Linked DNA regions of Callithrix jacchus. The protein of the gene in region 1 purifies or fractionates together with the protein of each later gene. This does not show direct contact. Links are inferred from orthologs where the notes say so. Each region holds a gene or a part of one and is shown in the gene's direction. Other genes may lie near its edges.

Region 1 (3,653 bases):
TTTTTTTTTAACATTCTTGGAGTATATAAAATCTTTTTTTTTTTTTTTTTTTTGAGACGGAGTTTTGCTCTTGTTACCCTGGCTGGAGTGCAATGGCGCGATCTCGGCGCACCACAACCTCCCACCTCCTGGGTTCAGGCAATTCTCCTGCCTCAGCCTCCTGAGTAGCTGGGATTACAGGCACGCGCCACCATGCCCAGCTAATTTTTTGTATTTTTAGTAGAGACGGGGTTTCACCATGTTGACCAGGATGGTCTCGATCTCTTGACCTTGTGATCCACCCGCCTCGGCCTCCCAAAGTGCTGGGATTACAGGCTTGAGCCACTGCGCCCAGCCATAAAATCTCTTTTTAAGTTACTTATTTTTCTCTTTTGTAGCTTTTAGGGACTTAACTATTTATGTTCTCCGGATTAATAAAACATATAGTCATTCTTAAATTAATCAATATCTGCTTAAAACTTAGAGTGAACTTAACAATATAAAACTAAAAGGTTTTCTATAAGTTTCCATGGAAGTGACTATCATTTTTTTTGGTTTGAGACGTAGTCTTGCTCCATGACCTAGGGTAGAGTGCACTGGCATGGTCTGGACTCACTACAGCCCTGACCTCCCGCATTCAAATGATCCTCCCTACCTTAACCTCCCAAGTAGCTGAGACTACAGGCGTGCGCCACCATTCCTGGCTAATTTTTTTGAACAAATGGGGTTTTTCCATGTTGTCCAGGCTGGTCTCTAACTCCTGGGCTAAAGTGATTTGCCCACTTTGGCCTCCCAACATGCTAGGATTACAGCATGAGCCACCGCACCCAGCCAACATTTTTTTTGTACAGATGGGGGTTTCACTGTGTTGCACAGGCCTCGAAATCCTTCTGCCTTGGCCTCCCAGTGTGTTGAGATTACAGCGTGAGCCTCAGTGCCTGGCTGTAAGTAACTATCATTCTTTATTTCTTTTTTTTAAAAACCTATTTTAGGTTCGGGGGTACATGTGCAGGTTTGTTATGTAGGTGAACTTGTGTCATGGAGTTTTGTTGTGCAGATTATTTTGTCACTCAAGCCAAGTACCCAATATATTTTTTTTCTGATCCTCTCCCTCCTCCTACCTACTACCCTCAAGTAGGCTCCAGTATAAAAAACAATGGTTAGATAAATACATCATTTTATTTGTCATTGAAATTTTGAAAAACATTTAAGGCTCTAAGGTTTTATATGAAATCATTTATGTATGTATGAATGAATGAGTGACAGGATCTTGCTCTGTCGTCTAGGCTGGAGTGCAGTGGTGCAGTCACAGCTCACTGTAGCCTCCATCTCGTGGGCTCAAGCAATCCTCCCACCTCAGCCTCCCAAGTAGCTGGGACTACAGGTGCATGCCACCATGCCTGGCTAATTTTGTATTTATTTATTATTATTTTTTTAAGATGGAGTCTTTTCTGTTGCCTAAGCTGAAGTGCAATGGCGCAATCTCGGCTCACTGGAACCTCCGTTTCCTGGATTCAAGTGATTCTCCTGCCTCAGCCTCCTGAGTAGCTGGGATTACAGGCACACACCACCATGACTGGCTAATTTTTGATTTTTAGTAGTGACAAGGTTTCACCATGTTGGTCAGGCTGGTCTTGAACTCCTGACCTCAGGTGATCCACCCACCTTGGCCTTCCAAAGTGCTGGGATTATAGATGTGGGCCACTGCACCCAGCCTCTGCCTGGCTAATTTTTTACTTTTTGTAGAGACAGGGTCTCACTATGTTGTCCAGGTTGGTCTTGAACTCCTGAGTTCAAATGATCCTCCTACTACAGCCTTCCAAAGTGTTGGGATTACAGGTGTGAGCCACTGCTCCTGACCTGAAATCTTTTCTTTTCTTTTTTTTTTGAGATGGAGTTTTGTTCTTGTTACCCAGGCTAGAGTGCAGGGGCGTGAGCGATCTCAGCTCACTGCAACCTCTGCCTTCTGGTTTCAAGCGATTCTCCTGCCTCAGCTGAGAATCCCGAGTAGCTGAGATTACAGGCACCGTCCACCATGCTCTGGCTAATTTTTGTATTTTTAGTAGAGATGAGGTTTTACCATGTTGGCCAGGCTGGTTTTGAACTCCTGATCTCGTGATCTGCTTGCCTTGGCCTCCCAAAGTGCTGGGATTACAGGCTTGAGCCACCATGCCTGGCCCTGAAATCTTTGTTAAGTTCAACATTATGAGGAGTGATATTTGGGAGAAGAAAGCGTGGAAAGTGAAACAGTTTCTCTTTCCTGTTCATATGGATCCATTTTTATGGTACTAAACTCTGGTGGTGATGAGGGAGAGAATGTGAGGGTGAGTGAACAGAACAGGACAAGGGATTTTCTTTTTCTTTCTTTCTTTTTTTATTTTATTTTATTTTTTTATTATTATTTTTTTGACACAGAGTCTCACTCTGTCTCCCAGGCTGGAGTGCAGTGGCATGATCTCGGCTCACTGCAACCTCTGTCTCCCGGGTTCAAGTGATTCTCCTGCCTCAGCCTCCCAAGTAGCTGGAACCACAGGCATGTGCCACCATGCCTGGCTAATTTTTTGTATTTTCGGTACAGATGGGGTTTCACTCTGTTAGCCAGGATGGTCTCAGTCTCCTGATCTTGTGATCCGCCTTCCTCGGCCTCCCAAAGTGCTGGGACTACAGGTGTGAGCCACTGTATCTGGCCTCTTTGTTTTTATTAGATAATATTTGCTGTGACTCCACAACCAACGGCTTCCAGACCTTGATGGGCAAATCGTTGAATCAGTTGGCTGTTTTGCTAAAGCTGGTCAACTAGTCAGTGAACTTGCCATTGCTGAAACCAGACCAGCAATGGGAGCAGGCTGCAGAAAGAACAATGTTAAGGGACGCTGATCTATTTTGTATGATTAGGAGAGAGGCCGTAAATCTGTTGGCTTTGCCCTTCACCCTCAGGTGTCCCTGGCTGGGCAGTGTATGCAGGACGCTCCAGTGGCATTTCTTCACAATTTTGATGTTAAATGCGTTACTAATTTGGAAGCATACCAAGAACGAGATGGTATTATCAATGCGAAGATCAAGAATGTTGCCTTGGGAGGTATGTTTTATTTCTTTGAAAAAAAGAACACAGACCCAAGCATGAAGATAAACTATGATCTCATGAGAGTATAAATCATTTTTACTGGTTCAACTTCAAATAATATTGTAACTGCCAATTGTTTAGTTCCATAAGACAGCATGTTGCATATTAAATATTTTGAAATTGGAGTAAAATTCAAATGACATAAAATTAACCTTTTTGTTTGTTTGATTTGAGACGGAGTCTCGCTCCATCGTGCAGGTTGGAGTGCAGTGGCGCAATCTCGGCTCACTGCATCCTCTGCCTCCTGAGTTCAAGCGATTCTTCTGCCTCAGCCTCCCGAGTAGCTGGGACTACAGGTGCCTGCCACCATGCCTGGGTAATTTTTGTATTTTTATTATAGATGGGGTTTCACCATGTTGGCCAGGCTGGTCTTGAACTCCTGACCTCAGGTGATCCGCCCTCCTAGCCCTCCCAAAGTGCTGGGTTTACAGATGTGAGCCACTGTGCCCCACCAGAACGAACCATTTTAAAGTGTACCATTCGGTGACATTTAGGACCTTCCACAGTGTTATGCCACCATTACCTTTTTATAGTTCCAGAACCTTCCATC
Region 2 (3,753 bases), on another chromosome or scaffold:
CTGGGATTACAGGCATCTGCCACCATGCCCAGCTAATTTTTGTATTTTTAGTAGAGATGAGGTTTCACCATGTTGGCCAGGCTGGTCTTGAACTCCAGACCTCAGGTGACCCACCCACCTTGGCCTCCCAAAGTGCTGGGATTACAGGTGTTAGCCACCACGCCCAGCCATTCAGGGCCATTTGATGAAGAACTTGACTGTGGACCATAGATTAAAAAAAAAAAAAAAGTCCTTCTACCATGTTTGAAATATTGGTTGGGGACAGTGAGGGGATAATAAACCAGTGATCTTTTGGGAGGATCATAGCTTCCTGTAAATCTCGTGGCTGAGCTTGTACCCAACACAAGGTTAACGAAGTGCATCAGAGCTTTGTAGTAATTCTACTCTATCCCTCGAAGAGCCAAGGGATTTGTGTTTCCGTGTCTGTCTTGCATTGGAGCATAGTGGAAGCAACAGAAAATTTGGGGGCAAAGGTATCTGGCTTTGGTCTTAGCCCAGGACCAGGTCCAGGACTGTAACTTACTGGACTTCAGTAGGAACCACACTGGGGGTTAACAGATGACATAAAAGCAGATGTTTGTTCTGTGCAGGACACACACGAGGGGAGAAGAAAAGGCACACACACACAATACCTTTAAGTGTAAACAAGCTTTATCCCACATAAATGGCAATGCAGATAAAATAAGCAAATTAATATACTAAGCAGATTGATATAATAAGCAAATTGCAATGGGAAGAGGGGAAGGAAAAAGACATGTAAATATATATATATATTTACACTCACCAGACTAGGGAGGACTTACCACCAGACTGGGAAGCAACAGCCTGGGCTCCAGAGTCAGACATTACACTCACCAGACTATGGAGGATTCACCTCCAGACTGGGAAGCAACGTTGGTGCAGACAAGGAGAGGTCTCAGGAAGCTCTGGCGTGGTCTGGGACCCTAGCTCTTTTGGTAACAAGTTGTTTGGCATGAGACCCAGTCACGAGGGTCCTTCACCACTTGTCTCAACGAACATTAAAAGATCTTGTTTTTGCGGTTGTTTTTCAATACTAACCTAGAGAAATAGATTGAAATAGAGATTTCTCCGAAACTTCGCTGGATGAACACCTCAAGGGGCTCACACAACCTGTACGGGACTTGGTGACCGTTTTGTTCATGTTCAATTGAGTTAAAATTTAATATTTATCTTTTCCTCCACAGTGTTCAAGTCAACTTTTATGGGCATCTTATTTTACACAAAAGTTAACACAGACAACAGCCACGACTCTGGTCCACGAAACATTCTATCGCCGCCCAGCCTTTACGCAAAAGCACTCAGGGCCGAAAGGGGGCCGACCGTTCCCTCGGCGGCCGCCACGCCCGCTAACCCCGCCCCCGTCACGGGTTCCTTTCCGTGCGTCCTTGCTATTGGCTCCTTTCCGGGCGGCTTCGGTTGCCGTGAGACCGAGGCGATGGCAATCAGGAGAAGCCAAACTTGGTCACCCTGTTCGCGGCGTGCCAGCTCATGGCGCTCTACGAGCTCTTCTCTCACCCGGTAGAGCGCAGCTACCGCGCGGGACTCTGCTCCAAAGCCGCGCTGTTCCTGCTGCTGGCCGCGGCGCTCACTTACATCCCGCCGCTGCTGGTGGCCTTCCGGAGCCACGGTGAGTCTGCCCCGGCCGTTGTGCCACGCGGCTCCCCGGGCGCGCTCGGCCGGGGCCGCCCTCCCTGACTGCCTCCCCACCACTCTCTTTAACTCAGGGTTTTGGCTGAAGCGGAGCAGCTACGAGGAGCAGCCGGCCGTGCGCTTCCAGCACCAGGTGCTGCTCGTGGCCCTGCTGGGACCTGAGAGCGGCGGGTTCCTCGCCTGGAGCACGTTCCCCGCCTTCAACCGGCTGCAGGGGGATCGCCTGCGCGTCCCGTTCGTTTCGGTGCGTGGTTCTCGCCTGGGCCTGTGGCAGAGAGGGGTATGGGGTGGGAACAGGGAAGGGAATGGGGATGTGGAGCTAGCGGCCCCGGCCCTGGGGAGCCCAGCTTGGATCCTAAGGACTCGCGAACCCGCAGAGGTGGGACGTTTCATCTCCTAGGGCCTAGGGAATCGATCTTCTGTTTCAGTCAGCTTCTCCCAGACGTCCTCGGCCCCCAGAGAGCCACGCTGTCAGCGTGTGCGCCCTGACACAGTGTCCAGAGGCCTGGGGGCAGCCTGCCTCTGCCCCCGTCACACCTGCAGGCCTGGCCTGATGGAAGATGTTTGTGAAAGTCCTTTTAGGAGCCTTGAAGGCCGCGCACTGTTAATGTAGGTAACCCAAAGGTGTCGCGGCGTTTGCATCACAGCACTGTAGGAACGGAAAGGGCGACATTTTTATGCTGAGCCCTGGAAACCAAGGAGCTTATTGGTTAAGCGGCCTTCCAGAACGAGCTCTGGCCGAGTCACGCCCCGTGGGCTTGTCCTCTTAGAGACTGCGCCGTCTGGCAGCTGTCTGGGATGAAATTGAAGCATCTTACTGTCTGTAATTTATTTATTTTAAACTTTTTTCATCAGCAGAGTGCTCAGAGGAAACTGTAATTTAGTATTTGCTTTGAGAGATTATAAAGAAATGCTTCCTTTATGATGACTCCTTTTCACTGATTTTCCGAAAACATTTTCCTTTAGAAGTATGAAACTTCTGGTTTTCCTTCTTCCAAAGCTGAATCTCTTCAGATATCTCTAAGATGATTGTCCTACAAGCCAAACATGTATAGCTGAGGAAAAAAGAAAATCAGACTTGTTCCCAGCAACTAAATAAAATTTTTAAAAATTTATTTAGTTAAAAATAATGGCAAAAAACCCCGCAGTTACTTTTGCACCAACCTAATATGATTCGGGTTAGTTTTCTCCCATTACTTTATAAATGTTCTTATGTTCTGATTACAAAAGCACATGCTCATTCTAAAATATTACAGAGTTACAGGTAGACATAATAGAAATTGAAGGCATATATATATATATATATCAATACTTATCAATCAGCCTTATTCTTTTTGAGGTCTCCACAGCATTTCACGTCATGAAACAGCAGTACTGTATTTAACCAGTTCCCTGTTGCTGGATATTTGGCTTACTTTGACTTTTCCACTATTAGGGACAATATTTTTTTCTTTTCTTTTTTTTTTTTTTGAGACAGAATATTGCTCTGTCGCCAAGGCTGGAGTGTAGTGGCATAATCTCCACTCACTGCAACCTCGGCCTCCTGGATTCAAGCAATTCTCGTGCCTCAGCCTCCCGAGTAGCTGGGATTACAGGTGTGCACCACCATGTCCAGCTAATTTTTGGATTTTTTGTAGAGAAGGGGTTTCACCATGCTGGCCAGGCTGGTTTCAAACTACTGACCTCAGGCGATCCACCCACCTCAGTCTCCCAAAGTGCTGGGATTACGTGTGTGCGCCACCATATCCAGCCTAGGGGCAATATTTCAGTGAACAAGGTTTTGACTAGATCTTATGCTTTTAAATGTGAAATTGTGAGGAACTGGAATAGCAGCTCTTTGATGAAATTGTATAAGTACATAGAAAACTAAGCAAATCATAACTGCAGAGAATTGAAAAGTAAGGAACAGTGATAGCAGAAAAGTCACCAGAGTTGTGAATAGGATTTACATAGTCTTAATTATATGAGCACTGAATGTTGACTGACCAAAAACAGATTTTAACTCTACTGGCGGTAATGAGAAAGGTATTGAGTATGACAGGGGAGGAGTGGAGGGAGAGAAGAAGCTAAATCATCTTTCCT
Region 3 (3,653 bases), on another chromosome or scaffold:
GGTTGCCTCTTCCTTTCTAAATATTTTTACTGCCTTTTAAATCTAGCCTTATGATCATGCTCCAGGGTTATTGCAGTGGCACCTACCTGGTGCTCCCTGCTTTTAATCCCCACTCCTGCCTCTCACACAGTCCTGCACACTCCATCAGGACCAGTGGATCTGAATTTTTCTTACCCAACAACACCTGAGGAATATGACCACTTCCAATAGTAATTATGGTTCATTACATCAATGAACTTTCCCTGAATGAGGCTGGGGAATAGATTCATGTTTAGTATGAAAAAGGCAAAAGCTTCCCTTTGGTTCTGATTATTTGCCTACCTTCCTCACAAATACACACATAGCATGTACACACAGTATACATAGCTATGGAGAATCACTTCACTAGATTCATATTTCCATAACATTGCATTATGTTGCTCTCTTATTCAGAAACCTCCATTACTTCGTACTACCCATAGAATAATAGCCAACTTCTTAGCCTGCCAGCAGATCTCCTATTTGATCCAACTTAGCTTTCCTGGCTCTTTTAGCATTACTCTCCACTCAGCTGAATTCATTTACTCATTAGCCTCAAGATATGCCCTGTATTTTTCCCAAGTTTGTATTTGTTTTTCTTTCTGACTCTATAGTTCCTTTTTCTCTCTGCATTTTGAAATCCCTTTATTTTCCATGAGTGTTTTCTTGCTCATCTACTGGAAGTAAGCCCATCCTCAGAAGTTCTAAAGCATTTATTGTTTGAGTCACCCCCTTGGAACCTGTGGGATTTTTAATATTGTTATTAATTTATGTAAACATCATGACTTTCCAGGAAAATTGTCAACACCTTGAAAGGATGGACCATATCTTTGTTTCCCCATGGTGCTTAGTATCTATTGGTACAGCCAGGCATGGCGGCTCATGCCTGTAATCCCAGCACTTTGGGAGGCCAAGGCAGAAGTATTGCATGCACCCAGGAGTCTGAGACCAATCCTGGCAACATAGTGAGACCCGGTCTTTACAAAAAATAGAAAAATTAGCTGGTTGTGGTGGTGCGTGTCTGTAGTGTCAGCTACTTGGGGAGGCTGAGATGGGAGGATTGCTTGAGCCCAGGAATTTGAGGCTGCAGTGAACTGTGATCATGCTCCTGTATTGCAGCCTGGGCAACAGAGTGAGATCCTGTCTCCAAAATAAAATAAAATTTAAAAATATACATATCTACTGATAATGATCATGAGTAAATTATGTTTTTAGTCAAAGTCTGTACAGTTTTTAGTCAAAGTCTGATGGAGTGGGGAAAAAACAAATCAGAAATAGGAGATCTGCAATCTACTCTCACCTCTGCAAGCTGGCTCTCTGGCCTTTTGCTACTCTTTTACCTCTGAGGAGGTAATGGGATTCACATGGGCTTTGACATCTGAGATTGTAACAATAGAAATCTAAATACCTTTAAGTTGTTTTAGGAGTAATATATTATCTATGATAGTAGAAATTTTAGGCAAAAATTCTACTTAGCCTATATTTACCATCACTACCACCAATATCTTTGCACTGAAGTGAGAGACAAAATGTTAACTTTCTCTGATTCATTTAAGTCCTGAAAAAATAGATATTTTGCCATCTCATTTCACCTTCTTTCTTAGCTTAACTTTAACTTTTACTTCATTTATAGAGATACAAATAACTGCATTTAGTGTAAGGTAAATATCTCTTCCATGTGGTTTGCTGGGTATGAGTTCTGAAGGAAATGTTAAAATAGCACTTGGACTATAATCCCAGCACTTTGGGAGGCCAAGACAGGTGGATTATGAGGTTAGAGTTCAAGACCAGCCTGACCAACATGGTGAAACCCCATCTCTACTAAAAATACAAAAATTAGCCAGGGCTGGTGGCGTGTGCCTGTAATCCCAGCTACTCAGGAGGCTGAGGCAGGAGTATCACTTGAACCCGTGAGGAGGTTAAAGTGAGCCAAGATCATGCCACTGCACTCCAGTCTGGGCAACAGAGTGAGACTCCATCTCAAAAAAAAAAGTTCTTGGAAGCTTTAGAGTTTGAAGATTTCAGATCGGAGGTAGAAAGTGGCCCATAGACGAGCAGCATCAGCATCACCTATTTTAGAGCAGTGCTTTTCAAATTCTAGTATGCATGCATATTACCTGGAGATCTTGTTAACACGGAGATTTTGACTCAGGTCTGGGGAGTGGCCTGAGAGTCTACATTTCTGAGAAGCTCCCAGGTAATACTGGAGCTACTAATCTGTGCACCCCACTTTGAGTAAAAAGGATCTAGGAGATGTGTAGAGTGAGTAGTCTGAAAAGTCCCAGCATTGAGAGTTGCATTTATGCTGTATCAGAAAGCGGAAAAGTCGCATAATTAAGATGTTATCACAGAGGATAAAGGACGGGTTCATTTAACGTGGAATCCTCATTTGCTTTCAATGATGCAGATATTGTAATATCTTTTACTCTGTCCAAATGACCATTAATTATATGAAGAATGAAACTGGCAAGGGGCATGTTTCGCTATGTTATTTTTCAATTTAGCAGATGGAGTAGTAAAGCAGACAATGTGTTGTCAGTCACCTGCCATCCTCTGGGCAGGAGATAGCACCACAGCCTTTCCTACATCTCCCTACTGGTTCTGAAGTGCCATAAAGAGATGACTGCAGGAACTTGGGTAGATTTATACATTGATATCATAGAAATTATAGAATTGTTCCAGAAAATAACGTTTTGAAATATCTAAAATCTTGAATGGAGGAATTATAAGCCTTAAGGAATAAAATGCAACATATCTCAAAACTTGAGAGATGGAAACATTATTAGGACTGGTCAGTTGAAGTTTAGAGGAATCAGGAAGATTTGGGAAGGACAGATCAAATATTGTCTCTAGCTTCACCATGTTCCTATGGAAATAGTGCAATTCTGTTGTATTAGAGACTCATCTGCTATGGGGCAGATATGAGCATTATTGAGCTTCCTATTTTCATCACAAATTGCTGATCATACACATTCTTGGTCATCGGTGACTTGAAACTGATGCATTCATTGACCATATTCTTTAATATTAAAACAATAATTCAGTCAGTAGATTGTGAATAAATTAAGAAGTGATAGAAGTCAGAATTTTTATTTCTGGAGATGGAGTATTGATTGAGAGCCTTCTGGGGAAATGTTCTATAACTTGATCTGGGTAGTTGGTAATATAGTATATAAATTTGTAAAAACTCTTTGAGTTTTCACTTGATTTGCACCTTGTATATTATGCTTCAGTAAAATATAATATTTTAAAAAATTAGTTACTTGGCATGTTTTTCTTTTATCTAAACTTCTTTTCTTTTTAAAAAACATTTTAGCAAAATTAAACTATTTCCAGAAGCTCCAAAAGGTCAATGCAACCAACTTCCAGGGCCTGGCTGCAGAGTTTGGAGGCGAATCATTCACTTCAACATTCCAAACTCAGTCACCACCATCCTTTTACAGAGTGAGCCTGGGGAAGGGGATGGGATTGTTTGGTTTGGTTTTTACTCTAAAGCAGACAACTGACAAGGTATCTTTGCAGTACTACCCTGCAGCTGGCTAAACCATTGTCAGCTCTTTGGAGGGCAGTACTGTCCATGTAATCAAGCCCTTGAGTTAACCTTGTTTCTACTCTTTCTTTTCTGTTGTAGTTTA

The links.
Region 2: the proteins of TCTN2 (region 1) and TMEM231 purify together in Homo sapiens (affinity purification with mass spectrometry; 3 studies listed by BioGRID and IntAct, counting the BioPlex papers as one, with this or other methods). This does not show direct contact. The link is inferred for Callithrix jacchus from reciprocal best matches to the Homo sapiens genes TCTN2 and TMEM231.
Region 3: the proteins of TCTN2 (region 1) and TCTN3 purify together in Homo sapiens (affinity purification with mass spectrometry; 3 studies listed by BioGRID and IntAct, with this or other methods). This does not show direct contact. The link is inferred for Callithrix jacchus from reciprocal best matches to the Homo sapiens genes TCTN2 and TCTN3.

The regions. Positions count from the first base shown.
Region 1 is NC_133510.1:126,866,649-126,870,301, forward strand, and holds part of TCTN2 (tectonic-2), read left to right. Parts: intron 1-2,916; coding exon 2,917-3,058; intron 3,059-3,653.
Region 2 is NC_133521.1:32,961,997-32,965,749, reverse strand, and holds the start of TMEM231 (transmembrane protein 231), read left to right. Parts: upstream 1-1,485; 5' UTR 1,486-1,509; coding exon 1,510-1,648; intron 1,649-1,745; coding exon 1,746-1,915; intron 1,916-3,753. UniProt on the Homo sapiens protein: Transmembrane component of the tectonic-like complex, a complex localized at the transition zone of primary cilia and acting as a barrier that prevents diffusion of transmembrane proteins between the cilia and plasma membranes.
Region 3 is NC_133513.1:88,551,862-88,555,514, reverse strand, and holds part of TCTN3 (tectonic-3), read left to right. Parts: intron 1-3,334; coding exon 3,335-3,462; intron 3,463-3,653.